3 linked regions of the Rattus norvegicus genome follow. The protein of the gene in region 3 purifies or fractionates together with the protein of the main gene of each other region. This does not show direct contact. Links are inferred from orthologs where the notes say so. Each region holds a gene or a part of one and is shown on either strand. Other genes may lie near its edges. The genes, in order: Ccp110, Cep97 and Kif24.

Evidence for each region.
Region 1: the proteins of Kif24 (region 3) and Ccp110 purify together in Homo sapiens (co-immunoprecipitation; 4 studies listed by BioGRID and IntAct, with this or other methods). This does not show direct contact. The link is inferred for Rattus norvegicus from reciprocal best matches to the Homo sapiens genes KIF24 and CCP110.
Region 2: the proteins of Kif24 (region 3) and Cep97 purify together in Homo sapiens (co-immunoprecipitation; 4 studies listed by BioGRID and IntAct, with this or other methods). This does not show direct contact. The link is inferred for Rattus norvegicus from reciprocal best matches to the Homo sapiens genes KIF24 and CEP97.

What each region holds. Positions count from the first base shown.
Region 1 is NC_086019.1:182,477,780-182,484,253, reverse strand, and holds part of Ccp110 (centriolar coiled-coil protein of 110 kDa), read right to left. Parts: intron 6,267-6,474; exon of another isoform or gene 6,255-6,266; 5' UTR 6,114-6,254; intron 4,281-6,113; 5' UTR 4,267-4,280; coding exon 4,126-4,266; intron 2,346-4,125; coding exon 2,217-2,345; intron 1-2,216.
Region 2 is NC_086029.1:58,153,603-58,160,076, reverse strand, and holds part of Cep97 (centrosomal protein of 97 kDa), read right to left. Parts: intron 3,717-6,474; coding exon 3,574-3,716; intron 468-3,573; coding exon 309-467; exon of another isoform or gene 305-308; coding exon of another isoform or gene 290-304; intron 1-289. UniProt on the Homo sapiens protein: Acts as a key negative regulator of ciliogenesis in collaboration with CCP110 by capping the mother centriole thereby preventing cilia formation. Required for recruitment of CCP110 to the centrosome.
Region 3 is NC_086023.1:61,419,324-61,426,251, forward strand, and holds the start of Kif24 (kinesin-like protein KIF24), read right to left. Parts: upstream 4,560-6,928; 5' UTR 4,422-4,559; intron 1-4,421. UniProt on the Homo sapiens protein: Microtubule-dependent motor protein that acts as a negative regulator of ciliogenesis by mediating recruitment of CCP110 to mother centriole in cycling cells, leading to restrict nucleation of cilia at centrioles.

The sequences.
Region 1 (6,474 bases), on a different chromosome or scaffold from region 3:
GCTGCTCTTACAAGGGCACCAAGCTTCATTCTCCCAGCACATGCAATGCAGTGCACGATTTCTTAACATCAGTTCTTAAAGACCTAATGCTCTCTTCTGACCTGCCCAGGCACCAGACACACACACGATGCACAGACATACATACAAGCAAAGTATAAAATTGAGACCTTTTTAAAGTTTTAGCTGGGTGTAGTAGACACACCTTTAATTCCAGAACTCCAGGCAGAGGCAGCAGTTAGAATTCTATAAATTCAAGGGCAACCAAGGCTACCCCGACTCAAAAACAAATCAAAACAAACAAACAAAAATCTTTGAAGAGCTATAGCTCCCTGAGACGACCACCTTGTCTCTACTTTGCAGAGGATCTTTCTGTGAACCCTCTGTGTCTACCAACTGGAAAAAGAAAATGTGCTGACTTAAAAACAATCCTCCCCATAAGACGGGGCATTTCTGGAGTAAACAATAGTTCTTCCTGTGGTTTATGTTACTAAAAATTAGAAAATTTCAACTTAGAACTCAGCTTACAAAGCCAACTTTAATCAGAGCAGTGAGAGTCAGTTAAGACAGCAAGCTGTATGTTTTCAGACAAGTAGGTCAGCAGCTGACACAGTAGGGTGAGAATACCTGTGTGCCTCAGAGACCGAGCAGGAAAAAGTGAGAGCTCATTACATCCTGAATACAAAACATCTGGAGGGGTTGTTTTCATAGGCTTTTGCTTTGTTTTGTTTTGTTTTGCTAGACTATATGGCACTTGAGTTTCACCATATAAGTCCCAAGGCACATAATGGTCTCCAGGTACTGTGCCATAAACAATACAAGTGTACTTGGTGACAACCTCTGGATGAAAATAAGCCAAAAGGAGTGCATACTCCTAGGGTCCATGGACATGCTCCCAGGCTTAAGCGATCTAGATCATTCTGCTGTAGAATCTTACATATTCACATCTTTAATACTCAATAGCTATGTTTGTAGTACACAAGTAAAATGTGCCTTCGGTTAGACAAACTAAATTTAAAAACTTAAGTCTATAACTGAGTCAAAGATATCATAGAGGAAAGAGGCCCTCTAAATATCTGTAGTCCATGAAATCCCTGTCTATATAAGGAATTCTTATAGCTGAATTATGTATGCTTTCCTAAACAGAAAGTTCTGAGACTCAAGAGTAATTTCATTAGTAGACTCTGCTAATAGCAATTTGATCCTCTCCATGGACTAGATCCAGAACACTGCCATTTTTGTTGTAGTAACCAGTAAGTCAATAAACTACGGTGTATTAACCAATATAGACATTAGTTAAAATGTGCAAATTAAAATCTACACCCACACTACATAAGACCCTACAGGTAAATGAAGGCAGCAGTTACTACAAATACCCTAAGGCTTACTACCCATAGCCACACAGCAGGAGTCACACAGGCAAACTACAAGCCCTTCAAATTACAAAAAAGCACAAGTGTTATGCATGGCAGAAATTATTTTTCCCACTTAAACCATTGGTGTTTCTTTTTAGTATGAAATGACCCAAACCATAAACAAACTGTTTACACAAATCTGAATTAATTTAAATAAAATGATTACAAAAGGTATAGATATAGTTGTTTAAATGATTTCAGTTTCAATCTGGAGACCTATGTAGTCCAGCCTCTTTGTTTAATCTAGATGGCATTTTTCAACACCTAAAAACAAAATTTTCATACATGTATACACACATACATACATACATACACACATTTGAAGGCAGTTATTTACTTTAGCAGAGAATAAGAAGACGGTAACACAGTACCACCCATCCCTCACCACTCAGTCCACTCTAAGGTGACATCTTTGGACACATCCTAAAGGATGTAGAGAAGTGACATGTAGTGATGAGGGTAGAAGCTGGAGGCTGGGATGAGGCTCACATCAGAAACTGAGTCTGATTAGTTCAGGGGTTAACTACAATGGACAATTCTATCATCTCTGACACTGAGAATTCAGTTTGTAGTCACGAGGCAGACAATAAGCAATTATATCCAGTGTATAGTGCTACTGTCTAAGGACCCTCTCTGATTCAAGTACTGGGCAGTACTAGCAAACAAATGGATTCTCTCCAACAAATTATACTCAAACACATCATAACAATAAGCACACGTAGCCAGCTTTTCTGCAAAGCTGTTATCAGTGTTTACTTCTGATATCATCATTTCAATCTAGAAGAGTTTAGTTTGATGACACACCTGAACATTTTCAAGAATTTCCTGGACACGCGTCAGTAAGGCTTTCTTCCTATTGGCCTGCTTTCTTGTTTGCACATCAAGTGCTTTCTGCTTTTCCTGTTGAATTTTCTCTCTCTTCTCAATGGTAAGCTGCAAGACACCATAAACACGCAATTCAATGGTAAAAGAATAAAATTGGCCAGTTTTTAATCAGAACAACCAAAACCGTGTATGAAGAATCTGAGCAGTGTCTGGGGTTCGAGGACTCCATGTGAGTGAGTGTCATGCAGAAGTAACCTATTATGAAGATTCCAGGAGCTATCACACATGACCATTGCATATCACTGAATCTAGCTCACTGCCAACTGCATCAAGGTCATGTCTCAAATACTAAATGGCAGACAAAAGGACTTCAGGAGCTGCTGCTACTGAAGTTTTTACCTGATAGTGGTTAACGTGAGCCTCACCCCAGTCTCCAGCTTCTATCTTTATCACTACACGTCACTTCTCTACATCCTTTAGGATGTGTCCAAAGATGTCACCTTAGAGTGAACTGAGTGGTGGGGGATGGGTGGTACTGTGTTACCTTCCAAACACTGCTACAACATTCATTACAATGTGCTGGCAGAAAACGTGGACCTTTTAATGCTTACACAACAAAAATAAATTTAAGAGTTCTCTAACTTTCTGGTTTAAAATATAGTCACACTTAAAAAATAACATCAAATTGAGTATGATGATAAATGTATCTTCTCTACTGTCCTCTATTCTCTTACCCCTTGCCAGAACAATACCACTCTCTTTTAAAAACTGTAAATGGTGAACATGTGTATACCCCGAGTGCCACCTATGACCCAGGCACGAGCCTAAGCATCTTACATTATCCGTGTAATTCCTGAAAAGCAATCTAAGCATTATCGACACTCACTGTCTGCATTCCATTCTAACAGTTAACGAAACAGACCACAAGCTCTGCACAGCAGGACAACGGCAAACTGACTGAAAGCCAGGCCGAGGTTCCACACTCCCAGCTGCCTCTGAAATCTCACTGTGTGATGTGAGGCAGGGCAGGGCAGCCTTCCATGCTCGTACTATAGAGCTACCTTATTCACTTGCATGGGTACATGAAATGTGTACAATGGACATAGCTAAAGTCCATTATTAATGGACACTTGGGTTGGTAATTCATCTCTTTTACTATTATATTTTCTTTTTTGTTTTCCAGACAGGGTTTCTCTGTGTAACAGCCCTGGCTGTCCTGGAACTCACTTTGTAAACCAGGCTGGCCTCAAACTCACAGAGATCTGCCTCCCAAGTGCTAAAATTAAAGGCAGCACACCCACTAATCATTTGCTACTTTAAGTGATGATGCTATAACTTACACACATTTATTTGAACACATTTGTAAGCTATTCTTCCTGAATAGAATTGCTGAGTCAAGAGTTACAAACACTTAAATTTTGATGAACACTACCAAACAGCTTGCCAAAAAATAAACAGACCTTCTTGATAAAAGTACATTAAACATTCATTTTCCTCACAACATGAAAACACAAAGTCCTAGGAGACCGTTGCAAATCTAGTAGGCAAAAAAATGCTAACTCGTTTCTATTGTATTTCTAATTATGAAAAACATCAGGCATCTCATCAGTTGCTTATAAATCTTCCATTTGATCTTAAGTGAGCTGTATTAGTTGTTCACTAGATTTTAAAAGTTATTTTAAAACAAACAAGGGAGCTGGAAAAATGACTCCAGTTTCAAGTATAGTGCTCTCCAGAGGACCAAAGCTTAGTTCAAAGCTCCTCTGTGGTCTGTTACTCCAGTTCCAGGGGGTCTGAAGCACTCGTGTAGCCTCTTCCAGCACCTATACCCATGTGTACACATGATTAAGAATGGAAGAAATATTTCATAAATAATTACTAAGTTTACCAGTGGAGAAAGTACAGCCACCCCATGGAAACGGATGAGTGAGACACTTTCTGCCTGGGCGGGCAGGAAGCTGTCTGTGGACAGTGATGCTTCCTGAGCTCGGGCAAGCGCTTTCTCGCAGAACTTCTCATATTCCTCCATGTTCCCACCACACACTAGGAGAAAGAAAACTGCTCTTAGTAGTGTGCTGACAAAACACAAGTTATTACCCAAGAGTACTGGAATATTTAAACACTTTCAAGAATTTTCTGTCTGCATCTGAAGGCTTTGTTTTAATGCTGTGGATACCAGCTGACTTAGGCAGACGTGAAAACAGAAAATCTCCCAGTTCTGGAGATCTTCTTAATTAGCTTTATTTTATAGTCGAAAGCCTGAAAGGTCACTAAGCAACTTCAAACAACCAGCCCAGCAATTTCATAATTTCTAGAAAACTTTGGGATTATGAAAATTCCAGGTAACCAGAAAGATTAGCCAGCCTAAGCCTTCTTTTTAGCATGTGCTAAGTATTTACTGATTGCCTGTTTTGCATAACATTGTACAGCCCTTGCTCCTGTAAGACAAGGGAAAATAGCAAAAGGAACATTATCATAATCATAGCAAGCCAGGGGCCCAGTTAACTGTGGGAAGAGAGCGTCCAGTACAGTAACATCCCTTAAATATTCAAGGCAAGTAACTAGTTAACAAGACTGAAGAGGGAAATTAAGCCCACGATGTGGGTGAGCTGTACAGACATGAAATAAGACATGGTGGCCTGACATGGTGGCCTGCTGGGCCTCTAAGACAGTTATACAATCCATAAATTCAAATTTCAAGGGAAAGCCAAAGTACAGATAGAAATGAAGAAAGAGCCCTCAGTGCTGAGCCACAGAACTTCTCTCTGTTCTGTGGCTTATATTTGTTCAATTTGTGCACAGTAAGATCCAACTTCAAAAAATAACTGGTTCTGGGGGTTGGGGATTTAGCTCAGCGGTAGAGCACTTGACTAGCAAGCACAAGGCCCTGGGTTCGGTCCCCAGCTCCGGAAAAAAAAAAAAAATTAAAAAAGGGCTGGAGAGATGGCTCAGCGGTTAAGAGCACTGACTGCTCTTCCAGAGGTCCTGAGTTCAATTCCCAGCAACCACATGGTGGCTCACAGCCATCTGTAATTGGATCCGATGCCCTCTTCTGATGTGTCTGAAGATAGCTACAGAGTACTCATGTAACTAAAATAAATAAATCTTTAAAAAAATAAATAAATAAATAACTGGTTCTCTCCAGAGCTGAGATCGTTTTGAAGCTGACATTCACTTTTTAAACACAAGACTAAGAAGCAACAAAACACTTTCTGGCACAACTGTAACAACTCACATCACAGTATCTTAACCAAAATTGCCAAAAGATGAGAAGAAAAATCTCAATAAATCCATTTCTGCTACTTTTTAAAAATACATCTTGGGGTTGGGGGTTTAGCTCAGTGGTAGAGCGCTTGCCTAGCAAGCACAAGGCCCTGGGTTCGGTCCCCAGCTCCGAAAACAAAAAGAAAAGAAAGAAAAAAAATACATCTTTTGTATTTACTATTAAAAATGATGTTATATAATTTCTGTGCTTGTGCACAAAAAAGAAAGAAACTCAAAAGTCTGGGAGAGAAAAGGCCATAAACTGCCTTCATTAGTTCTACTTTTCTTCTAACAGCATCGTAGAGAAAGGTCTCATTGTTGCAGGAAATTATCCGCTTCACTTGAGCGGGCCACGCATACCGCTAGACACTGCAAAGTCCACAACAGAGGTAACGCACAGCACGACAATGAACTGGACATTGAAACTCCGGTGCTCATGTGAGACTGGAGAAAGCTCCAGATGGTCTAGAGCATGACTGGATCTTCCTAGCCTTAAGTTTCAGCTTACATGTCCTGTCCTCAAAGAGGCGCTCTCTAATCACCCCATCCTAATTCCCCCGCCTGCATCACTATCATACCCCTCTGACATTTCCCAGTTTCCACAGTACTTACCACTATCTGAAATGGCCTCCTGTACTGCCGTGAGTTTTGTGTGTCTTCTCCCACCGAAGCGTAAGCTCCATAGAACAGGTCCTTCTCAGTCTTGCTCACTGAGTCCCATGGCACAGAATGGTGTCAGCACACAGCAGGCGCCTAATACAATTACTGAATAAATTAATTAGGGCAAACAGATCAAGCAATGCAAAGCAAGACTAGCAGAATGAAGAGAATTCCGAGACTGGCAACTTGGAGAACAGCTCTATTCCCAAAGAACCAGGGACCTCTCAGTTGCAAAAGTAGTCATTAAAGAGAGTCCGGATTCTACGATTGTGCAAGAGGGCACTACGTTTCTCACACCAAGTTTATTTTAAGG
Region 2 (6,474 bases), on a different chromosome or scaffold from region 3:
CAAAATTACACAGTTCCTGGGTGGCAGACCTTTTTCCCATTCATCATTAAAAATGTACTTAAAAGTTTGGCTGGGGTGGCGGGTAACTCCTTCCCCATCATTCTAGTATTTTATTTACTTTTTCGAGTACGATATAGATTCTTTTGAAGGTGTGTGTTGATACCAATTATAGAAGTAGACACTTTCACTTTTTAGTTTACTTATTTCTATACTTGCCAAGTTTCTTTTTCCCAGAGAACATGTACAGAAAACGACAACAGCAACAACAAAAATCTCAAAAGATAATTACCAAGAAGAAAGCCATTCACCTTCAGATTATTGCCCGCTAAATTCAGCCACTCCAAATGGACGAGGTCCTTCAGCCCTTCCATGCAGCCAATACTATTATGAGGTAAATTTAACACTCGGAGTTGAGTCAGCTTGGCCACACCCATCATCCGAACCAAGCGATTATTAGCCACTGACAACTGTGAAAGGAGAACATTATTATTCCTAGAAACAAAATCTATATCTCCACACATCCTGGTAGATGGTCAAACATTCCCAAATACACAAACCTAACTTATAGTTTACACATAGTATACATATCTATCACCTACAGCTTAACTACTGGAGTCTATTGTTCTAATCAACAAAAGTATAGATAAATTTATATCTGTTGTTATATGGGGTAACCAACTAATGCCTGACCACAAGAAATTCATGTGTGGTCATATAAACCCAGTCAAAAGCCCATGGCAGGGGATGGCATAGCCCTAGAAGCTACTGATGGCTTTTGCTAATGGACAGAATGTACCTATCAATCAGACTCCTAACTGACTGCATAAACACCCACAGAACAATGCGGCCGTCAGCTGTTTTCAGAGAAGCTTCTTTTGCAATAGTTGGTGGTGTCTGCAGAGACTCATAACTGGTCTCAGTGCTGGAAACAAATATCTGTTAAAATGCACAGCCATAAACGGGACATCTATAACATTGAGGAGGGCAGTGGAAGGTTAGAAAGAATGTAAGGGCAGGAGGAAAGCGGGGAACAGATAGTGCTTTCTGAGTATCACATGGCTGCTGTACTCTGGAACTCAAAGCAGCACGTAAGACTGAGCTCCTCAACAAGCTGGAGGTGTGGAGAGGAGCCTGGAAGGCCATGCCTTCCAAGGATTAATCACTGAGGAATAACAGACAGTGGCTGACAGAGAAGGGAAAGACACTTTCTTCAAGGGGTGTAGCCATGGTGAGGTGTCTACGTTCCCGTAAATGGATTCTCACTCATGTTCCTCATGAAATTCACTTGGTCACAAAAAGAGAGGTGGGAGAGAAGGAGAAGAAAGAGGAGGAGAAAAAGAAGACACGGAAAAACAAGAGAGAAGAGAAGAGAAATGGGATTAGAAGGAGTGGAAGAAATCAAGAGAGGGTAATGTGATGAAAATGATAAAAATATATGTATATACATATCCAGACAAATGAAACGCAGTATCATACACAATCAATGTATGCTTATATATTTCAAAAATACAGATAAAGCTTAATAAGTCTGTTGCCAATTTTTAATGATACTTGTGTGTGGATGGTGTATGTTGGGGTCATTGCATGCGTGTGTGTATATGTTTATGTGTTGCATTCTTGTGTATGGGGGGTGCACATGCCCATCTATATACATACACAGGCTAGAGCAGGACTTTGGGTATCTTCCTCTGTCCCTCTCCACCTTATTGCTTTGAGACAGACTCTCTACTGAACTGCAGGCTCATCATTTTGGCTAAATTGGCTGGCCAGCCAGCTCTGAGGATCTGCCTGCCTCTCCCCTCCAATGACCAGGTTAAATGTATACTACATGCATCGGTGCCCAGCTTTTAGTGTGGGTGCTGGGGATCCAAATTCAAGGCTGTGTGTTTGCAGAGCCAGTGTTCTTACCCACTGAGCTGTCTCCTAAAGATACTCTTTATCTTATCTTTTATTCAACTCGAAAATATTAGCTCTATGAATACTATCGTCATACCATTTCAGTCACAAACAAGGACTATGATAGGTATACTAAAAGGAACCAAATAAGCACTCCCTTTTCCTTTGTTCTGTTTAGGTGTAGTTTAGGGCTTTGAGTATGCTAAGCCTTGGCCTTCAAGTATATCCTCAAGCCCAACATTCCTGGATGAATAAACTCTTTACCCCAATATGACGTTAAAATTAGGTTAACACAGTATTTTGTTTGTTTGTTTCTTTCTTTCTTTCTTTCTTTCTTTTTTTTTTTTGGAGCTGGAGACCGAACCCAGGGCCTTGCGGTTGCTAGGTAAGCACTCTACCACTGAGCTAAATTCCCAACCCCTTAACACAGTATTTTATCAACATATAATGTGCCTTTTAAAAATATGTATTTATGGGGCTGGAGAGATGGCTCAGCAGTTAAGATCACTGACTGCTCTTCCAGAGGTCCTGAGTTCAATTCCCAACAACCATATGGTGGCTCACAGCCATCTGTAATGAAATCTGATGCCCTCTTCTGGTGTCTGAATACAGCTACAGTGTACTCATATACATAAAATAAATAAATATTAAAAAATATGTATTTATTTATGGGAATAGAAGAATGGCTCAGCAGTTAAGAACATAAGTGTGGGGCTGGAGAGATGGCTCAGTGGTTAAGAGCACTGCCTGCTCTTCCAGAGGTCCTGAGTTCAAATGCCAGCAACCACACGGTTTCTACAACCATCTGTAGAAAATGAGATCTGATGCCCTCTTCTGGTGTGTCTGAAGACAGTTATAGTGTACTTATATATAATAAATAAATGAATAAATCAATAAAAAAACAAACATAAATGCTGCTCTTCCAGAATATCAGTTTAGTTCTTAGCACCAAGTCAGGTGCCTCACAACCATCTGTAGTTAACTCCAACTCCAAAGAATCTGATCTCCTCTTCTGGCCTCTGCATGTACTCATACTCATGTTGCATATATTCATACAGATATACAGAAAGATACAGCTATAAAGAGTGAAATAAATAAGAAATTTAAAATATGTGTACAGAGAGCAAGAGCATGCAGACGCATGCATGCACAGACATTTGCAAGAGCACACATGCAAACATCACAGGCATCGTCTCAAAAGTCGGTCAGTTCTCTCCTACCTGTGGCAGGGAGCAAACCTAGGTCTTCAGACCTTTACATAAGCACTCCTACCTGCTGAGGTGTCTTTTTTTTTTTTTAAGATTTATTTATTTATTATATATAAGTACACTGTAGCTGTCTTCAGACACACCAGAAGAGGGCATCAGGTCTCATTACAGATGGCTGTGAGCCACCATGTGGTTGTTGGGAATTGAACTCAGGACCTCTGGAAGAGCAGTCAGTACTCTTAACCACTGAGCCATCTCTCCAGCCCCCCTGCTGAGCTGTCTTGCCAGCCCTGTTTTCATTTTTTAATAATGCTTCTCTTTCTAGTCCATTGTAAGTGTAACACATGTATTCACCTTCAGAAGCTAGCATACAAAACTTGAAGGCGACACTTACTGCTTTCCAGGCATGTAGAGTGTGACTTTTTGGATTTGTTTAGAAATAAATGAGTCTTATATAACCCATACTCACCTGTATTAACTGTTTGCATTTCTCCAGATTTTCCAGTTTTATAATCTGATTTTTATCCAGAATCAATGTGTGAACATCAGCATCACAGGGCAAGTTGGCCCCTAATTTCTGCAGTCCCTGCCCTGACCAGTTTACCACTGATCCTTGAAAAGAGAAAACATCTTGTTAGAAAGCAAATCTGAGGACTGAGCTTAGCATTTCACACTGAGGGGAAAAACATGTAAACACATTTAAAACTACACCACAGCACAAGAAGTATCAAAAGTTTAAACGTACAATAATCCAGAGCTCTAATGCCACATTTTTTTTTCAAATTTATGAATTACTGGGAGCCTTTGCATGCAAGCCCTAAGTGCACTCTAGTATTTAATAATAAGCATTCAGAAAACAGGATTGATGTTTCTTTTGAGGTATTTGGTGTTTTGATTTCTGGGTTTTTTTCTGGGATTTATTTTAATTTTCTGAGACAGGGTTTCTAGGAGTTTCACTGTTTGTCCTGGAACTCGTTCTGTAGACCAGGCTGGCCTCAAACTTAGAGATCTGCCAGCTCTCTCCCTAGTGCTGGGACTAAAGTGAAGAGACAAACGGCAGCTCACTCTTGCCTCTGCACTGAGTTCCCAGCACCGACTTAAACAACCAGCACAATCCCCTGGTGCAGATGTCTCCTGTCTTTGAAGGAGGCAGAAAATTAATGCCCTTAAAGTGATAAGACCTCCACTCTTAATCTATGGGAAAGACAACCAAGGGCTCCCAGACAAGCTGTAGCCAGCTTGTAAAAATACACTGGTCACTGATAATGAAATGAATCATTTCTTCCCACGTCAGAAAAGTCCTTTTCCAGATGTATGGTCCCTTCTTGCTGTCTGAACAAACGTTATCAGTTTGAAAGGATAGCATTCCTTTAGCCCTCACCCTCTTGAAAGCCCCAGCCTATGCATTTCCCATATATAAACCCCAAACCTGGGCGTCCCATTCCTAACCTGCCAAGCAGGGAAGGTTGCATCCCAATTTTGAACTCTTGTGTGTTTACATGGGTGGTGTCCTGATCTCTGGCGGTCTCCTGGGGTTCTCAAGAACTGGGCATAACAAAAGCGGGTGCCACCACCTCAAGGCTTATTTCCCCCTTTTTTTAATCTTTCAATCTTTTGTTTTGGATTGGTTTTGGTTGTTGTTGTTTGGGGTTTTTGTTTTGTTTTGTTTTATCTTTTGCTGTTGTTTTCAGACAAGGTCTGATGCTGGCGAGGCTAGCATAAACTCTCTATGTATCCAAGGCTAAATTTGAACTCCTGATCTTCTTTCCCTCAACTCCCAAATACTGGAATTAAAGCTATCATCGCACCAGGTCCTAAAACTTTTTTTTTTATAGAAATCAAAATGTTTATAACCTAACTATATTTTCAAGAGCCCAACACTGTGTATATGGGGACTGGGGTCAGTGCATGTCACACATGCCCAGGGAAGCCAGAGGAGAATGCTGGGTGTCCTGTTCTGTAAATCTTTCTTTACACACTCTCTCACTGAACCTGAAAGCCTAGTGCTAGACTGGAAGTCAGCAAGCCTCCAAAGTACTAGGTGCTGGGGCTTTTCCCATGGATTCTGGGGGTTTGAACTCCAGTCTGAATGCTGTCCCTGTAACCGCTCTTACCCACTGAGCCGTCTCTACAGCCCTCACTTTGTTTTTTGAGGCAGGGTCTCTCACTGACCTGGAGCTCATAAGTAGAGTAGGCTGGTTGGCCAACAAGTCCCAAGAATCTGCCTATACTCACCTTCCCAGCACTTGAGATTATAAGCTCCTGCCACCACGTTGGGTCTTTTACCTGGGTTTGAGGATTGAACTTGGTTCCTCGTGCTTGTACAGCGAGCACTGTGCCAACTAAACTATCTCCCCGCCACTTTGAAGTACTTTTGAAAATCACAGTATAGTTAATTGATGGAATAAAATGATTTTGATTTCACAAGGTTGCAGGCAGCGCTCAATAAAACACCTATAGCACAAATTCAGACTATAGCTCCCCTGGCTAACCACTATGGACAAGTTTCCTTCTCTTTTTCTCATTTATTTCCTTCTCCGAAAGTCCCCCAAATTAAGGGGTTGGCAGGTTTGGTAACTGAGACCCCTCTCCTAAAGGCTGACTGCCTCCCCGATGTGTCCACCCACGTCTTTCCTCTAAGTCACTCTCTTAGCCTCAATGGTCACTCTCTTAGCCTCTCCCCCTCCATTTCCTCTGGGGTAACTTTTCTACTCCACTAGACATAGATGACAGTCAGGTGATGTTTAAAGCACCAGCACATCTTCAATTTCGAGGCCAGCTTCATGTATATAGTGAATTCTGGGGAAACCAGAGCTATAGATTGATACCCTGTCTCAAAACAAAACAGCTATGCAGTGGTGGCAAGCGCCTTTAATTCTAGCACTTGGGAGGCCACTTGAGAGACAAAAGCATCTCTGTGAGTTGGAGGCCAGACTAGTTTATTGAATGAGTTCCAGGACAGCCAGGGCTACACAGAGAAACTCTGTCTTGAAAAACGACCAAAAAAAAAAAAAAAAAAAAAAGTGAATGAGCCACGTGTACACCTCACACCTTTAATCAGAGCATTGAGGAGGCAAAAGCAAAAGGATTTCTTGCTTTTAGACCAGTTTTAGACCAGTCACAGCTACATAATGAGACCCTGTCTAAAAAAAGGGGGGGGGGAATATAATATAAACATTGTTCTACATAAAAATACATGAGATAATGGGAGAAAAGCACCCAAAATATCATCTGGCTCTTTGAGCGTAGGGGGGATGGCTCTGTAAATGCTAACTGCTGCTGTTGTGGGTTGTCTTGGTGAGCTAGGAAGGTTTAGGAAAGGGGGCGTGGCCTGAGTAACTGCTAATTTCAAATTTTCGATTAGATTGGG
Region 3 (6,928 bases):
ATCAGGCTCTAATGTTACCTTGTTGTATGTATCAAGGTCATTTGTTGTTTCTTTAATCACTATAAAGAAATCTAAGATCTATATAACATTCTTTACCAGCCAGAAAAATGGATGAAAATAGCCCAGTTCAAAGACATTCACATTTTTCTTCAGTTTTATTAATTCATACAACATCCCAATACTTCAGTTATACAAGAGAAAATAAGGAAAAACATTCAACAAAGGCATCTAGGATATCAATAAATCTTAATTTTATTGACATAGAATTCTCACACTATAAAATACCCATATAGAGTATTTAATTTAATAAATCTTACTATATTAAAAGTATACAACCATCAATCACAATTCAATTTTAGAAGGTTTTTATCACACACACACACACACACACACACACACACACACACACACACACACGTTAAAAACAACAAAAACAGTTACAATACAAACCCAAACATTTTCAATCACTTTTTATAAGTATTTCTGTACCTCAGGTTAGGTACAAGATCCCTAAGAACACACAAGAATGCCCAATTCCAAGAAGCAAAATAAAAGGTAAACAATACAGAATATGCTTCTCTCTACAAGAGAACTAGTTATTTCAAACTCCAGGGATTATCCTATCTATAGTAACTGAGCTTCACAAGAGACAAAGGGCAGGAGACAACTGCTTAAAACAACAGCTGCAGAAGAACTAAAACAGATGGTACTCAATGGAATTCCTACGGTTAGGGGTGGTGGATTCTGGACACTATTACTGCCATATTACTTTAAACAGAAAGAAAGAAAGAAAGAAAGAAAGAAAGAAAGAAAGAAAGAAAGAAAGAAAGAAAGAAAGAAAGAAAAAAGACCTTTGAGATTGTTTGCAAATTTAAAAAAAGTTAGTTTCATGTTAATCACCTAAAAATAAATCTAACAAAATTGCTGAACCCAGTCATCTTAAGTCAACACAGGCCTACTATTCTAAATACTAAGGTTTAATATAGGGACAAGTAGCAACCAATGTTGGGTTTAAATGCAGTGGTTTATTTTTATTTTTAAAATTTTAGTTTAGTTCAATCTCAGGAAGTTGTCACTTAAAGATTTTTTTGCCAGTTTGCAGCCATAAAACCATGTCAACAAACCATATCTCATGTGTTTACCTAGAAAAATAATGGCTACAATCAGTCTTTATAAATTCCCAAGCTGGCTGGGCAGTAGTGGTGCACACACTCAGGAGGCAGAGGCAGATGAATGTATGTTTGAGGCAAGCCTGGTCTATAATGTTAAGTTCCAGGACTGCCAGGGCTAACAGAGAAACATGTCTTGAAAAGCCAAAATAAACAAACAAATAAATTTCCAAGCTACTATGATTTCAGTCATAGTCAAACTCCTTTGGAAACAGTTGTTCCTATGGAATCAGGCATTACTCACACAGGGATGATGCTGAGAAAGCATAATTTAAAAATAACCTCAGTCGGGAGTGGTAGTGCACATCTTTAGTCCCAGTAGTCCAGAGGTACAGGTAGGCAGATATCTGTAAATTCAAGGCCAGTCCACATAGTGAGTTTATGTGTGTGTTTGTGTTTTAACACAGGGTCTTATGTAGCCCTAATGGCCTGGAACTCACTATATAAGCCAAATTGGCCTTGAACACAGAGATTATTAGTGCACACCTTTAATCCCAGCCTGTCTCCAGAGTGCTGGGATTAAAGGTGTGCACTACCACATTCCCAGCCTCACTTAACAAAACTTGTTAACCTACAGTACACAAAGTTTGAACAAATTTGCTAAGTCTACATGGAGAAACTAGGTAAATACCTCATAGACACTAGATGAAGAAATATGAGAAAAATTCAACCCTTCATTATACAGAAAACAAAATACCAACCTCTCAGCTCCTCCTGCACCATGTCTGCCTGGATGCTGCCATGCTCCTGCCTTGATGATAATGGACTGAACCTCTGAACCTGTGAGCCAGCTGTCCTTGTAAGAGTTGCCTTTGTCATGGTGTCTGCTCACAGCAGTAAACCCTAACTTAAGACAGTAGTGATCAGCTTGCTTTCTCCACTCTTAGACTGTCCAGAATCCCCTGCCTAGGACATCCACAGTGAGCAGGTCTTCCCACCTCAGTTAATACAAGTCAATCTTCCACAGACATCAGTTTTTCCCACGTGGTTCTGTTTTGTCAAGTTGACAATTAGCATTAAACATCACAATATCTAAATCACAACAGCTGCTATACTTGACATTTTGTTGTTTGAGGCAAGGTTTCTCTGTGTATCCCTGGCTGTCCTAGAACTCACTCTGTAGACCAGGTTGGCCTTGAAATCCAAGATCTGCCTGCCTCTGCCTCTCAAGCGCTGGGATTAAAGGCATGAGCCACTACTGCCTGGCAACATTTTGAATCTTTTCATTAATGTTAACTCTGAACTATGAATTTCATATAAGAAAGAATAATCAGCAATAATATTGTGACTGTACAGGCCACAAGTCAACAATGAAATAGTCTTGGAAATGAAGCAGGATTCTGGATATCTGATGAATGGTCAGAGGCTGAGCTGTTAATATGTTCTGAAGAGAATGGTCACAAAATTGTCTCTGCAGAATATAAATGCAAAGAAAAAATGTCTTAAAGGCAGGCAAGAGGGCTCAACAGATAAAGGCACTTTCTGCCAAGTCTGATGACCCAAATAAATCTGGAAAGGAGAACCTACTCCCCAAAAGCCATCCTCTGTTCATACACAGACACACAACAACAAATAAAACAAATAATAAAAGGTTTTAAAAATTTTCCAAAGTGAGTGTGTTGGCTTATATTTATAATTCCAGCACTCAGGAAGCTGAAACAGGATTATTATTGCATGTTCCTACAATGTAAAATGCTATCCCCAAAAAAGTTTTTTTAAAAAATGGAGCTGGAGAGATGGCTTAGCCTTTAAGAGCACTGGCTGTTCTTTCAAAGGACCTGGGTTCTTTTCCCAGCACCCACATGGTGTCTCACAACTGTCTATATCTACACTTGCAGGGAACCCAACCCTCTTTTGGCTTCCTTCATACCACACACACACAAGGTATACATAAATACAGGCAAAACACTCATACACATAACATTTATAAAAAAAAAAAAGCCAAGGCCAAGGAAATACCTTGGTAGGTAAATGCACAAAACCTATAAGCCTAATGATCTAAGTTCAATGCCTAGAACCCCATTAAAGGTCACATGTGGTATCACACATCTGTAACCCCAGCACTCCTAGGGAGAAGTGGGGGAGGGGGTTACAGAAATATCCTGGAATATGCAGTGCAGCAGCCTAAACAAGCTGCGTGCTCATGAATCTCATGAATGAGATATTCTCTCTCTCTCTCTCTCTCTCTCTCTCTCTCTCCCCCCCCCCCTCTCTCTCTCTCTCTCACACACACACACACACACACACACACACACACACACACACACAATGCTAAGTGGAAAAAAAAAACCCTCAAAGTCAAATAACTGATTTCATTTTCCAAAGCACAGATAAAATGTGACGATAGTTGGAGGTCACTAAATAACACTGGCATATAACAACAGAATGGTCTGTTTTAAGCAAATATATTTAGGGGTCTGATAAGAGGTATTTTTAGGCCAGACTACAATGTGGGGAAGAGGTGTAGCAACCAAGTTACAATTTTACCTTTCTAAACATAGAGTTCCAGGATAGTCACATCTAACTTTGTCTCCAAACAAATAACCCCACACACAAAAATTAAAATAATAAAAGCAGTAAACAATGAATTAATGTCAGTATGCTAGTGGTCAGCTCGCCTTCTCTACTCTTACTACTGTCCAGAATTCCCAGCCTAGAGAATACTGTCATCCACAGTAAGCAAGCAGGGCTTCCTGCTCCGATTGTGGGGCTGCCAACGCTGAATTTTCTAGCTTTTTTGTATATGAGATTAGGGTGTCCTCTCTTCCACCTGCTCCCAAATTGTTTGAATAGAACAAGACACAAAAGATAATCGATTCTATTCGTAGTGAGTTAAAGCCAACTGAACTTTCCTTTAAAAAAAAAAAAAACTACTATGCGTAAGGCATTGCGGAAAGGCTTGTCTTATCTCAGAGGTCAAAATTAAATGAGGAAAAGAAGAATGAGGTTTCCGGAAGTTCACAAAAACAACCCAAAGTCGAATTCAGGCTAGCTCTGAAGAGCATGTTTCAAAGGCAAGGGGCCTTTGGGGATTCAGAAAGGCCTCAAGAATGGTGGCGTTCGAGGTAACTGCTGGAGAAACCGCAGACGGGGAGACGAAATAGGAGAGTGCGTGAACCCTCGAAGAATCCGAGAAGCCAAGCTCTAGTTACCCGGCAAATACCGGTCTCGACACACGCTACTCTGAGACAAGCGCACCCTTTCCCTCGCAGGCGCAGGGCTTGGGCTCAAGCCAAAGCCACCGTGTCTCACCTCAGGGCCTTCCCGGCTCCTCCTCAGTCAGTTTCTCGGAGGACGGAAGAATTAGTGCCGTCAGGAGAAAGCCCTAAGCCGGGCTAGCAGAGCGTCCCGTCAACCCGCCTAAGGAGTCCGCCAGGCCACATCTCTATGGCAACGCCACCAAGCGCCAGTTCGAACGCGCGCGCTGTCGCCCGCCCGCCTGCGGTCCCGCAGAACCCGCCAATGGTCATTCACAGGGCCTATCACCCTCTCCTCTAAAGGGCCAATCAGAGATCAGAAGAGACAGGGGCGGTCCAATGGTTCCGCTTGGGGAAGATCTCGCGACGTTCCCAGTCAGAAAACCGCGCCTCAGAGGCGGGTGGCAGCGCCTGATGCCCAATCCCGTGGCTCGCCTGAAGTGCAGCCGGGCTCTTCTGATTGGCTGGCGCGCTTTGTCTCCTTTCGAGAACCGCCTCCTGCCTCCTGCCTTCGTGCTGCGGGTGAGTGCAGTGGGGCTGGGGGCGTGGGGAATGTCGTGTGCTCTTGATCTGTTGCTGCGGGAACGGAGCTGGCATTGAGGCGGGTGTAGGCAGGCCAGGCAGGCCCTATCCACTCGCAGGACCTCGGTTTATCTCTCTGCACCTGAGAGAACAAGGTTTAGTGGTGATGGCGTGCGTCGGAAGAATTCCAGAGGCAGAGAGGTCCAGCTTTGGGACTTAGCGGGCCAATCATACCTTCTCCCTAGGCCTCTGTACTGCTTCGTAGTTATCGATTAAACCCTACCTGCATTCCAAGAGATCTTACGTTTTGTAAAAAACAAAACAAAACAAAACAAAAAAAACAAAAAAACTTTCCTTGTTTGTTTGTGTGTGTATGTGTGTGTCTGTCTGTCTGCGTCAGTTATGCGTCCCACGTTCATGCAGAAGCCAGAAGGCGTCGGATCCCAGAAATTCGAGTTAAACGCGGTTGTGAGCCACCTGCTTTAGGTTCCTGGGAACCGAACCCCAGTCCTTTGGAAGAGTGGCAGGTGCTCTAAAGGGGGGAAAAAAGGCCAAACAGCTTAAATCGAGAACCGTCAAGTTGCCAACGCAAAATGCATCATATCCAGTGGCGATTAAGCTTAGAAATTGGACATGCCTGCGTTTGATTAACTACCCCAAAATATTTCTGAACCATAGCTCATTTTCGCTTTTCTGAAAAATGATAGTAATGCGTCAACAGGTTGTAAAGAAGACAAAGTGAAAAGAATGCTTGGCAGGTCCTAGCTTCTCAGGTAAAAAGGTACCACCAGCATGGTGGGAGCAAGTACACTAGCCAGGATGTGTGCAGCTTCGTGTGTGCTTTAACATAGTGCTCATTTTAGCTCAAAAATTAACCATTCGGGGGCTGGAGAGATGGTTCAGTGGTTATGAGCCCTTGCTTCTCTTCCAGAGAACTTTGAGTTCATTTCCCAGCACCCATGTCAAGTGGCTCACAATTGCTTCTGACTCCTGCTCCAGGTGATCCCTGGCTCTCCTCAGGCACCCACATACACACAACTGGCAGACACACAGACATAAACAAAAATAAATCACTAATCAGAGAATAAAGATAATTCTTACTAAGAAATAAATTCAGAATTCAAAAGAGTAGAAAATAGACAATATAGTAAAAGGAATTAATCTTGTTGATCTTTAAAAATTACTAATAATTATCGTGAGCGCTGTTTATCAGCTGTTTCACAGAAAATATAAAAATGATAGACATTTCTTGATTTGCTGCGTGTGGCAGCGCATGCCTTTAGTCTCAGCATTCGGGAGCAGAGGCAGGAGGATCTCTTGTGAGTTTTAGGACTGCGTGGTCTAAAACGTAAGTTCCAGGATATACAGGACTGTTACACAGAGGGGGCAAAATTCTTAATTTTAACTATTAATAAGAGTTGAGGGCTGGAGAGATAGCTCGGTGGTTAAGAGCACTGACTGCTCTTCCAGAGGTCCTGAGTTCAATTCCCAGCAACCACATGGTGGCTCACAACCATCTGTAATGAGATCTGATGCCCTCTTCTGGCATGTAGGTATATATGCATCAGAGCACTCATACATTAATATATATATATATGAAATAAAATATATATATGAAAAAAAAGAGTTGAGTGCCTGTAAAATGCAGATAAGCATTCAGTTGGCTTATTATAAGATAAGAGTGACTGACGTATATTCTGTATCTCTGTATATACACACTTTATTTTAAACTCTCAACAATGAGAAATAGATGTTAAAGTCACTTTGCAAGCAATGATGTGTCTTTCAGGTAACAACCTGAATTTAGTAGCCAAGTTTCTTTCACAGCAGTGTCAACTATGGTTTCCTATGGTTGTGAACTGGAAGAGGGTGAAAATATTTGGAATACCAGATTGAAAAGGGGTGGTTAGAAAGGCAAATGTACCCACATTCAATGAAAATGGCTTGTCTTAGTGAAGGTCTCTACTGCTGTGATGAGACAGTGACCGAGAGCAACTTGAGGAAGAAAGGGTTTATTTGGCTTACTCATCCTATCTCTGT